2 linked regions of the Zea mays genome follow. The protein of the gene in region 2 interacts with the protein of the main gene of each other region in a pairwise test. Links are inferred from orthologs where the notes say so. Each region holds a gene or a part of one and is shown on either strand. Other genes may lie near its edges.

Region 1 (4,309 bases), on a different chromosome or scaffold from region 2:
CATAACGTTATAAGCAGAACCGATCGTCCGGTTTTGAATGTCTACAACCAGAGCGTGATCCCGGCCCTTAGGAACTTGGCCAATTCCTTGTACGTCATCGAAAAATATATTCATTTTTTGTGTGTCACTAGCCTTACTGGTCTTACATGTCATACACAAAAAAATCTATATGTCACTTAGTGATACACAAGAAATAAGTAAAAAATCTAATGGCATAGAAGGAATTTTCCTAGGAACTCCTCTTCTAACTAGTTAGTTATCTATACATCACTATAGTTCCTATATACTCACTTCGTATCAAAATAGTATTCGTTTTAGATCTTATTTTTTATGTCTATACTCAAATAGATGATGATGAATCTAGACACGTGTATGAAACACATACATCCAATCTTGTATGAATCCCTTAATTATATGAAACAAATTTTAATTTGAGACAAGGGGAGCATTATATAACCAGACATTGTTTAAATGGAACATCTATTAAAAACACAATGCAAACTCATAGATTAGATGAGTGTGAGTTGTGAGGTGTATAATGTGAGGTCAGACAATGCGAGATCAGTGACAGTGAGGGACCATCGATGACTAAATAGTGGATTGGTCTAAGATACGACTCATTTAATAGTGTCATGGTCCAATCCGACATAACTAAAAGTGTGCTTGTACCGTGCCTAGGCCGTTTTCTCGACTCACAGTGCCAACCCAATTCATTACCATTTTTTATTTTGAAATTATTAGTATATATATTTATAGTTTATATCTTTTATATAGCACAAGCTAATAAGTGGTGCACTAGTTAAGAGATAGGATGAAAATGGTCGAAAAAGATCAAAAAACATCTAAATTGATTTTGTTTTCATATTATTTTGACGGGACGAAAACATAAAATCAACTGTTGAAATACGGGATCGAGATTGTCGATTATTCAAAAACAATCGAAAACGATAAGCTTTAGGCAGAAAGACAAATATTTTGTAGTTTCCATAAATTCATAATAAAGTGGTAGAATGCCTAATTTTTAAGATATTAAAATACACAAATAAATCTTCTTTATCATTCATATCATTTATAGTAATTATAATTTTTGTTTTTCTGTTCTTCATTTATTTAAACACAACAAAAGTATGTAACTTATATAAATTATACTCTAAATGTATCTCATATTATATAAAACGGTATTATCATGACTCGTAAATGGAAAATACGAAAATAATTGAAAAACTAGCTAAATCGTTTCCGTATCATTTTTAATCGATTTCCGAACAGTTCAAAAATGTATAGGTAAAAACGGTATGCGGAATGGGACGGTACAAATTCAAATGAGCATATATTTTTTAGATTTTTCGTTCGTAAGTACACCAGGAACGACGCGGGAAGAAATTCCCACATCAGGAAAGCCATCATCGGCCCGGCCCATCCGTGAACGAAAGCCATGACAGATCGGTCTATTTGCTGGAAGCATGGCCGACACCTATGACCTATCCATGTAGAGCACCGGCCCAGAAACTCCTACTGCTCTTCTTAGCTCGCCGAAATGACGCACGGCCTCGCCGTCGGCTTCGGCTCCCTCCGCTGCGGTCCCTCCGTGTCGTCGTCCTCTGCCACCATTCATCGCACCCTGGTCGCTCCCCCTCGTCGAAGCTTACGGATATGCTCCTCGACCTTCCCTCCTCCACCCGCGCCCGCCATCGAGGGTCGTGACGTCAGCCTCTCGGTGACCACGCGGCGGGGCAGGGTGTTGCCGGTGCTTAAGGGATGCTCCCTCCTTGTCCCGCCCGGGCAGCTCTGGATGCTCCTCGGCCCCAACGGCTGCGGCAAGTCCACGCTGCTCAAGGTTCTTCCTCTGAACTAGGAGTAGGTCGAGAAGGCAACATCTCGTGTTTTTCACTCCCACTTCATTCGTGCAGGCCTGAGAATTGAAATTGGAACTGAATTTATGAGACTGGTGATTGCCTTAAGAGATTGGTTTAGCACATCTGTTATCTTCATTCAATAGTAAAACGTGGAATGCACCCTGTTTCCGCCAATTTTGAAACGTAGAAAATAGTTTTCTGCTGTGTAGTGGCTAATTCACTTGGTAGATATGAGGTAGACTGGCAGATACTGTCAATTATGTCTGACATTGTTTGGTTTTTTTTCGATTGGAAATGTAAGTAGGATGCGGTATGGATAGAATCAAGATCCAGCCCATCAACCTCGTGAGTCGCGAGTACAGTTTTTTGGGGAGAATGGGTAGTTGAACTTCATGAAAATGTTCAGACAAGTCGTTGTACCGTTTTGGGGACCCAAAATTCTCAGGAAAGGTTTCGATAACTTGTGAATGTGCATATCATTTTCTATAGAAAGTCCACATTAAAAGCCAATAAGAAAATCTAATAAAACCTTTGTTACAGATGTCACAAATGTCAATTCTGCATCTCTTTTGAGGTATGGTGCATCATCACAAAGCAATAAAGGGTTGAGTCCTGGAGTACAAATGGCAGTACACAGAGTTAATTTGCACCCATTGTTTTTGGACCAGAATATAGTTTCTGTTAATTATAAAAAAGATCTAGTGGCTGTTACATTCATGTGGAAGAAACAAACATGAATTGGTTTTATCTACTTATGCTTGTAAAGTTGTTAGCTACATGCATTGTGCTCATTTCTGATTACTAGGTAACAAAACTTTGAGAATTTATTTGTCCATTTCTTATCACTGTCACTGGGAATAAATGTCAACGCCGTGTTTTTTAGGTTTTAGCAGGTTTTCAGAATCCAACGGCCGGTACAGTGTATATAAACAGACCATGCAGCTATGTCTTCCAAAATCCTGATCACCAGGTGGTAAAACTTCTCTTTCTTTAATAGTTCTCTAACTGGTCTGTTGTCAGGTCTCACAATAGATTTTAAGTGGAATCTGTAGTATACTAGTATGCCAACACAATTAACTCACATAGCATCTATTGAGTTCAGTTTCAGTGTTACCTGTATCAGCTTATGTGTTAAACTCAGCATCTATTGGCTATTTTACTTTGTATTGGACAAGTAAATAATGTATTTGGTTAAATGATATAAATTGATGCTTGTGATTATACATTTAATCATGTGGCTCGGTATATGAGATATGTCATTAGGCATGGACAATTTGTCACAAAAACTTTTCCATGCATACCCTGCTAGTGCTCCAATTCATACAATATCCACTTAAATGCATTCGGAGCATAGTTTTAGGTGAGTCATGCAATCTGATTATAATATTCTTGTACCATGCTAGAGAAAAGGTGCCATCACTTGTGGTCTAGTTGTTCCTTAGTACCCTTATTTGTTGGGGACATAACATTTATAGGAGTCTTGTTGAATCAAATCTAACTTATTGTCTGCTAAACCATGAACTTTATGATCTTCATTTTTTTAGTTTTGACAAAACATTTATGTTGACAACTCAATACTCAAATGAACACATTGGAATCAAACAAGTTATAGCGTGTACGAAAGCTTCCACATGGCGGTCAAGCCAATAACTGCAACCCCAGACTGTTCATGTGCCCAAGTCTTTATACCATGTCTTTATATGGAAGAACGACTGTGATTTTCTTAGTTGTGTCCTTTGGATGCAGGTTGTGATGCCTACAGTGGGATCTGATGTAGCATTTGGTCTCGGTAAGCTCAAACTTCCGTTAGATGAGGTCAGGTTAAGGGTATCAAAATCTTTGGATGCCGTTGGGATGTTGAGCTACTCTCAGGTAGGCTTCTAAATTCCAGCTTTTGGATCATAATCTAAAGTCTTCACAATGTTAATAACCCTTCATTCAAACAGAGGCCAATCCAAACTCTGAGTGGTGGGCAGAAACAGAGAGTTGCAATTGCTGGTGCGTTAGCTGAAGCATCCAAAGTATTACTGCTGGACGAACTGACCACATTCTTAGATGAACATGACCAGGTTTGAATCTCCTCCATATTCTGATTTTTTTGATTTCATGAATTTCTTTCCCATTTGTTGGAGCTTATCATCGTGCCTTATGTTAGTTTTGTCTAACTTGCATCGTAACATTTTATGGCGAATAAAAACTTCTGTGTTCTTAAGTGATTTTACTGGTTGTGATATACGCTAGTTACAGTTCTGCACTCTAATCTCCATTTGCTGCAACTGCAGATAGGCGTGATAAATGCAGTGAGGGACTCTGTGGCTGCCGATGGGGAGGTCGCCGCATTATGGGTGACTCATCGGTTGGAAGAGCTGAAATATGCAGATGGTGCCATCTATATGGAAGATGGCCAGATAATCATTCAAGGCGACGTCTCTACCATATCAAAATTTATAAAG
Region 2 (3,694 bases):
GTGGGCCTCTAATGAGGACATCATCTGCTGACAAGTTCATCAGTTTCATTCATAACCTTGAGATCGACACGGAATTAACTAGGGCATGCACTGTGGAGGGTAATGCTGCAGGTATTTGGTCAGAGCCTACCTTCCCAAGCGATCCACCGCCGAACAATAGCTCAAGTGTTACTATGCCAGGTAGATGCACAGAAAATTCTGAGACTGAGGCATGCAACACTGCCAACACCAGAGCCAGTCAGGCTTCTACTCCCACGAGCATGGCTGTTTGCGAAGGGGATTTGCTGCAGCCTGAGAGCACTAGTAACGGTATCCTACTTAACATTGTGAAAAGAAAAGGGATGCCCTACGGGCTAGTGTAACTGAATTGGCCGAAAGCTCCTGCTCACTTGATAATGATGCTTTTGTAGCTTCGCATCAACCTCGAGCTGGTGATTAGATTCTTCTTGATTTTGGAAGGTCATTATATAGCCACAGCAGCAACGCTGTAGGACGAAATTGTACTTGATCTATTTGAAGAGCAACTATATGCGTGAATTCAGCAATGATACTTGGAATGTTCAATCATCTGTTGGCTACATGAACATGCTGCGGTTTATTAGTCTTGCACACACTTGTCACAACAGCAGAAGAAATAGCGGTAATACTCCCTCCCAATCCCAGAGCTGGCATAAATGCCTCAACTAATCCTCAAACGCCCTGAGGTTATTGTTTACGGCTGTGAAGCCTCCGTCCACCATGAGGTTGACCGCGCTGACGTACCTCGCCTCGTCGCTGGCCAGGTAGAGCACCGCCTGGGCGACGTCCTCGGGCATGGCGTCGACGCCCTTGAGGTTGGCCTCGCCGCCGACAAAGGCCAGGAAGTCCTTGAGCGCGTCATCTGCGCGCGCGCCCTGGGGCAGGTGCGGCATCGACAGCGCCGTGGGCACGGCATAGGGGGACACGCAGTTGACGCGCACCCCGTGGCGGCCGAGCTCCGCGGCGACGCTCTTGGTGAGCCCGACCACGGCGTGCTTGGACGCCGTGTAGACGTGCGGGCCCGTCCCGCCGATGGCGCTGGCCACGCTGGCCAGCGACACGATGGAGCCCCGCTTCCGCGGGATCATAGCGCGCGCCGCGTGCTTCATCCCCAGGAACACGCCGTGCACGTTGACGTCGAGCACCCTGCGCGCCTCCGCGAAGTCCACGTTGCGGATGTCCGTCACCTTGGTGCCCGTCACGCCGGCGTTGTTCACCATCACGTCCAGCGCGCCGAACCGCTCCGCCGCAGCGTCCACGGCGCGGCTCACGTCCTCCTCCGACGTCACGTCGCAGTGGACGAACATGGCGCCCTGCGCGTCACCTCCCAGGGCGTCGCGCAGCTGCTGCCCAGCCTCATCCTGGATGTCCGCGATGCAGACCTTGGCGCCGTGCTCCATGAAGAGGCGAACGATGGCCTCACCGATGCCGGTGGCGCCACCAGTGACGAGGGCCACCTTCCCTTCCAGCCTGTGTTTGGGGCAAGAAACGCAAGATCAAATCTGAAGGACAAAAACACAGGCACAGCTACTGGATGGAGATGGAGCAGCACCGTACTATGGTGTTGCAACTGGATCGACTGTATGCCGATGTATACTGCACGTTTGGAACAGTAGAATGGTTGAGGATACACTTGGCACACCATTTCCTATTTTCCTCCCATAAAGAAGAGAGGGGGAAATGACCACTTCGCTCGCTAAAAGATAAGCACAGAGCACCAGTGCTTGGCCTGGGTGGATCCTTCAATTCATCGCCCTTCGACGCGAAAAGGTGGAAATTTTGATCAATATCTTGGATAAGCCCGCCTTCTTTTTGGAGTAACAAGTAGGTTGAACTGCAACAGCAACCGAGCTGTGCAGCATAGATGCAAGCCATGGACGGGGGAGTGGAGCTAGGAGCAGGGAACCCACGCACGAGCCATGGATCGGGGGAAAATTGAAGAAAGAAGCAGGGCACGCACCGCTTACTCGAGGAGGAGAAGGACGGCGAGGAGCCCGCGGCGGCCATCGTCTTTAGATCGGCGCCTGTGCCTCCTCCGCGCTCCGGTGGTCGCCGAATCCAAGTGCGCGCTGTCGTTGCGGGAGCGAGCAAGTTGGGAAGGCGTTGTCAAAATCTGGGTGGAGGAGCTGGCGCACGTGGGCCAGTAAACGACAGCGCACCGGGCATTTGGCGTTTCGTGTGTTGAATAATTGGGTTAAGACCCATTGACTAATTAATAAAATAAACCACAAGGTACATTAGCGGTGAAAGTTACAATTAGTTAATTGGTTCTTGATGACCTTTTATCTTGATGACCCTCTTTTAGGGCATGTATAACCTAGACACTGCTGCACGGTACTCTATATACAAGACACAACTAAAACACAACCGTGGTCATGTCTAAAACATGTGTTTTACCATATTTATTGTACCAATCAGAGCATTCAATAAATTAAAGTGACCAATCAGCTAGTCTTCTGTCTCGAATATAGAGCTAAGACATTGTGTCTTCGTCAAGATACATGTCTTTAGTTTTTTTACATTCACCCCCCTAGACACATCTAAGGCACAACTTAAGACACTTATTGTACATGCCCTTATAACTAGTAACTCATGCTTTTGATGGTTGAGAGTTACTGTTTTGATGGTCTTTTCATGGTCAGTAATATGTCTCTTGATGGTCAAACCGTCATTTGATAGTCCTTTTATGGCATTAACCTATAAGCTAAAGGGGGTTCTGGTGCCTGTAAAAAGAGGCGCTACCTCTCATCCAATGACACGTAAAATCACCAGAGCTATCCACTGCTACGTTGCGTTGTGCTTTCTCGGCTCTGTGTTCTTGCGCGCACAAGATACAGAGTAAGCAGGTCTCTAAAGCCATCGTCGTTGTAAAAGATTCTGCTCGAGACAGCAGTCGATCAGATTTTCAGGGAGCGCACAACACAACTTCTTGATCGACATCGACTTGTTCGTGGGAGCGCGTTCATCTTCTTTCTTGTGGTTGTTCGCATGAAACCGTTTGTCTTCTTCCTGGTGGCTATTCACAGTACTGCACTGCGAACATCAAACTGCATCAAATTCCGATCGACTACATCAAACTTACACGCGAGATGTATCATGTGAACGGAGCCATCGTTGCTCTAAGCATTGGTCCTTCCACTTATTGTTGTGCATGTTATTCTACTATTTACTACTACTGTGAGTCAGCGGCAATCGGTGGATCTAGAATTTTGCTATAGGGTATATGGTCTTAACAAAAATATGTATAGTTCAGTAAAATACATCTCAAAATTAAATAAATAATAATAAATGCTGCGCTGCAGTTTGGTATTCAATGCAAAACTAGCGTGATGATTCTTACATTTAAAATTAGGTTTGCAACTTATATAATTTTTCTTCTCTTGCTTAAAGAAAAACTAAACCTTTATTTTTAACGGTCACTGCTGACCAACAACTGAAGACTTCCAACAGTTCATGAGTACTGTATGTGCTAAGAAAAGATAACATAAATTCAATAAACAAAGCTATTGTAGGCTAGTTTTAGAGTATGGCATACTCTGGATACATGTGGTGTGTTTGGTTTGTGGAGTCACTTTATGCTTCATGAGGTGATACATCATAAGTTCATTTAATCAATTTTGGTGGAATCAACTCACTCCTCGTATATATACTAATTATTAGCTTATCAGGAATGAGC

The links. The genes of interacting proteins can lie anywhere in the genome.
Region 1: the proteins of Zerumbone synthase (region 2) and ABC transporter I family member 10 interact in binary tests that used the Arabidopsis thaliana proteins (3 or more experiments, as listed by UniProt). The link is inferred for Zea mays from reciprocal best matches to the Arabidopsis thaliana genes ABA2 and ABCI10.

Annotation. Positions count from the first base shown.
Region 1 is NC_050103.1:179,026,786-179,031,094, reverse strand, and holds the start of ABC transporter I family member 10, read left to right. Parts: upstream 1-1,501; 5' UTR 1,502-1,537; coding exon 1,538-1,837; intron 1,838-2,739; coding exon 2,740-2,826; intron 2,827-3,602; coding exon 3,603-3,728; intron 3,729-3,802; coding exon 3,803-3,925; intron 3,926-4,138; coding exon 4,139-4,309.
Region 2 is NC_050100.1:3,427,732-3,431,425, forward strand, and holds Zerumbone synthase, read right to left. Parts: upstream 2,305-3,694; 5' UTR 2,026-2,304; coding exon 1,979-2,025; exon of another isoform or gene 1,576-1,978; intron 1,489-1,575; coding exon 684-1,488; 3' UTR 511-683; downstream 1-510. UniProt on the Arabidopsis thaliana protein: Involved in the biosynthesis of abscisic acid. Catalyzes the conversion of xanthoxin to abscisic aldehyde.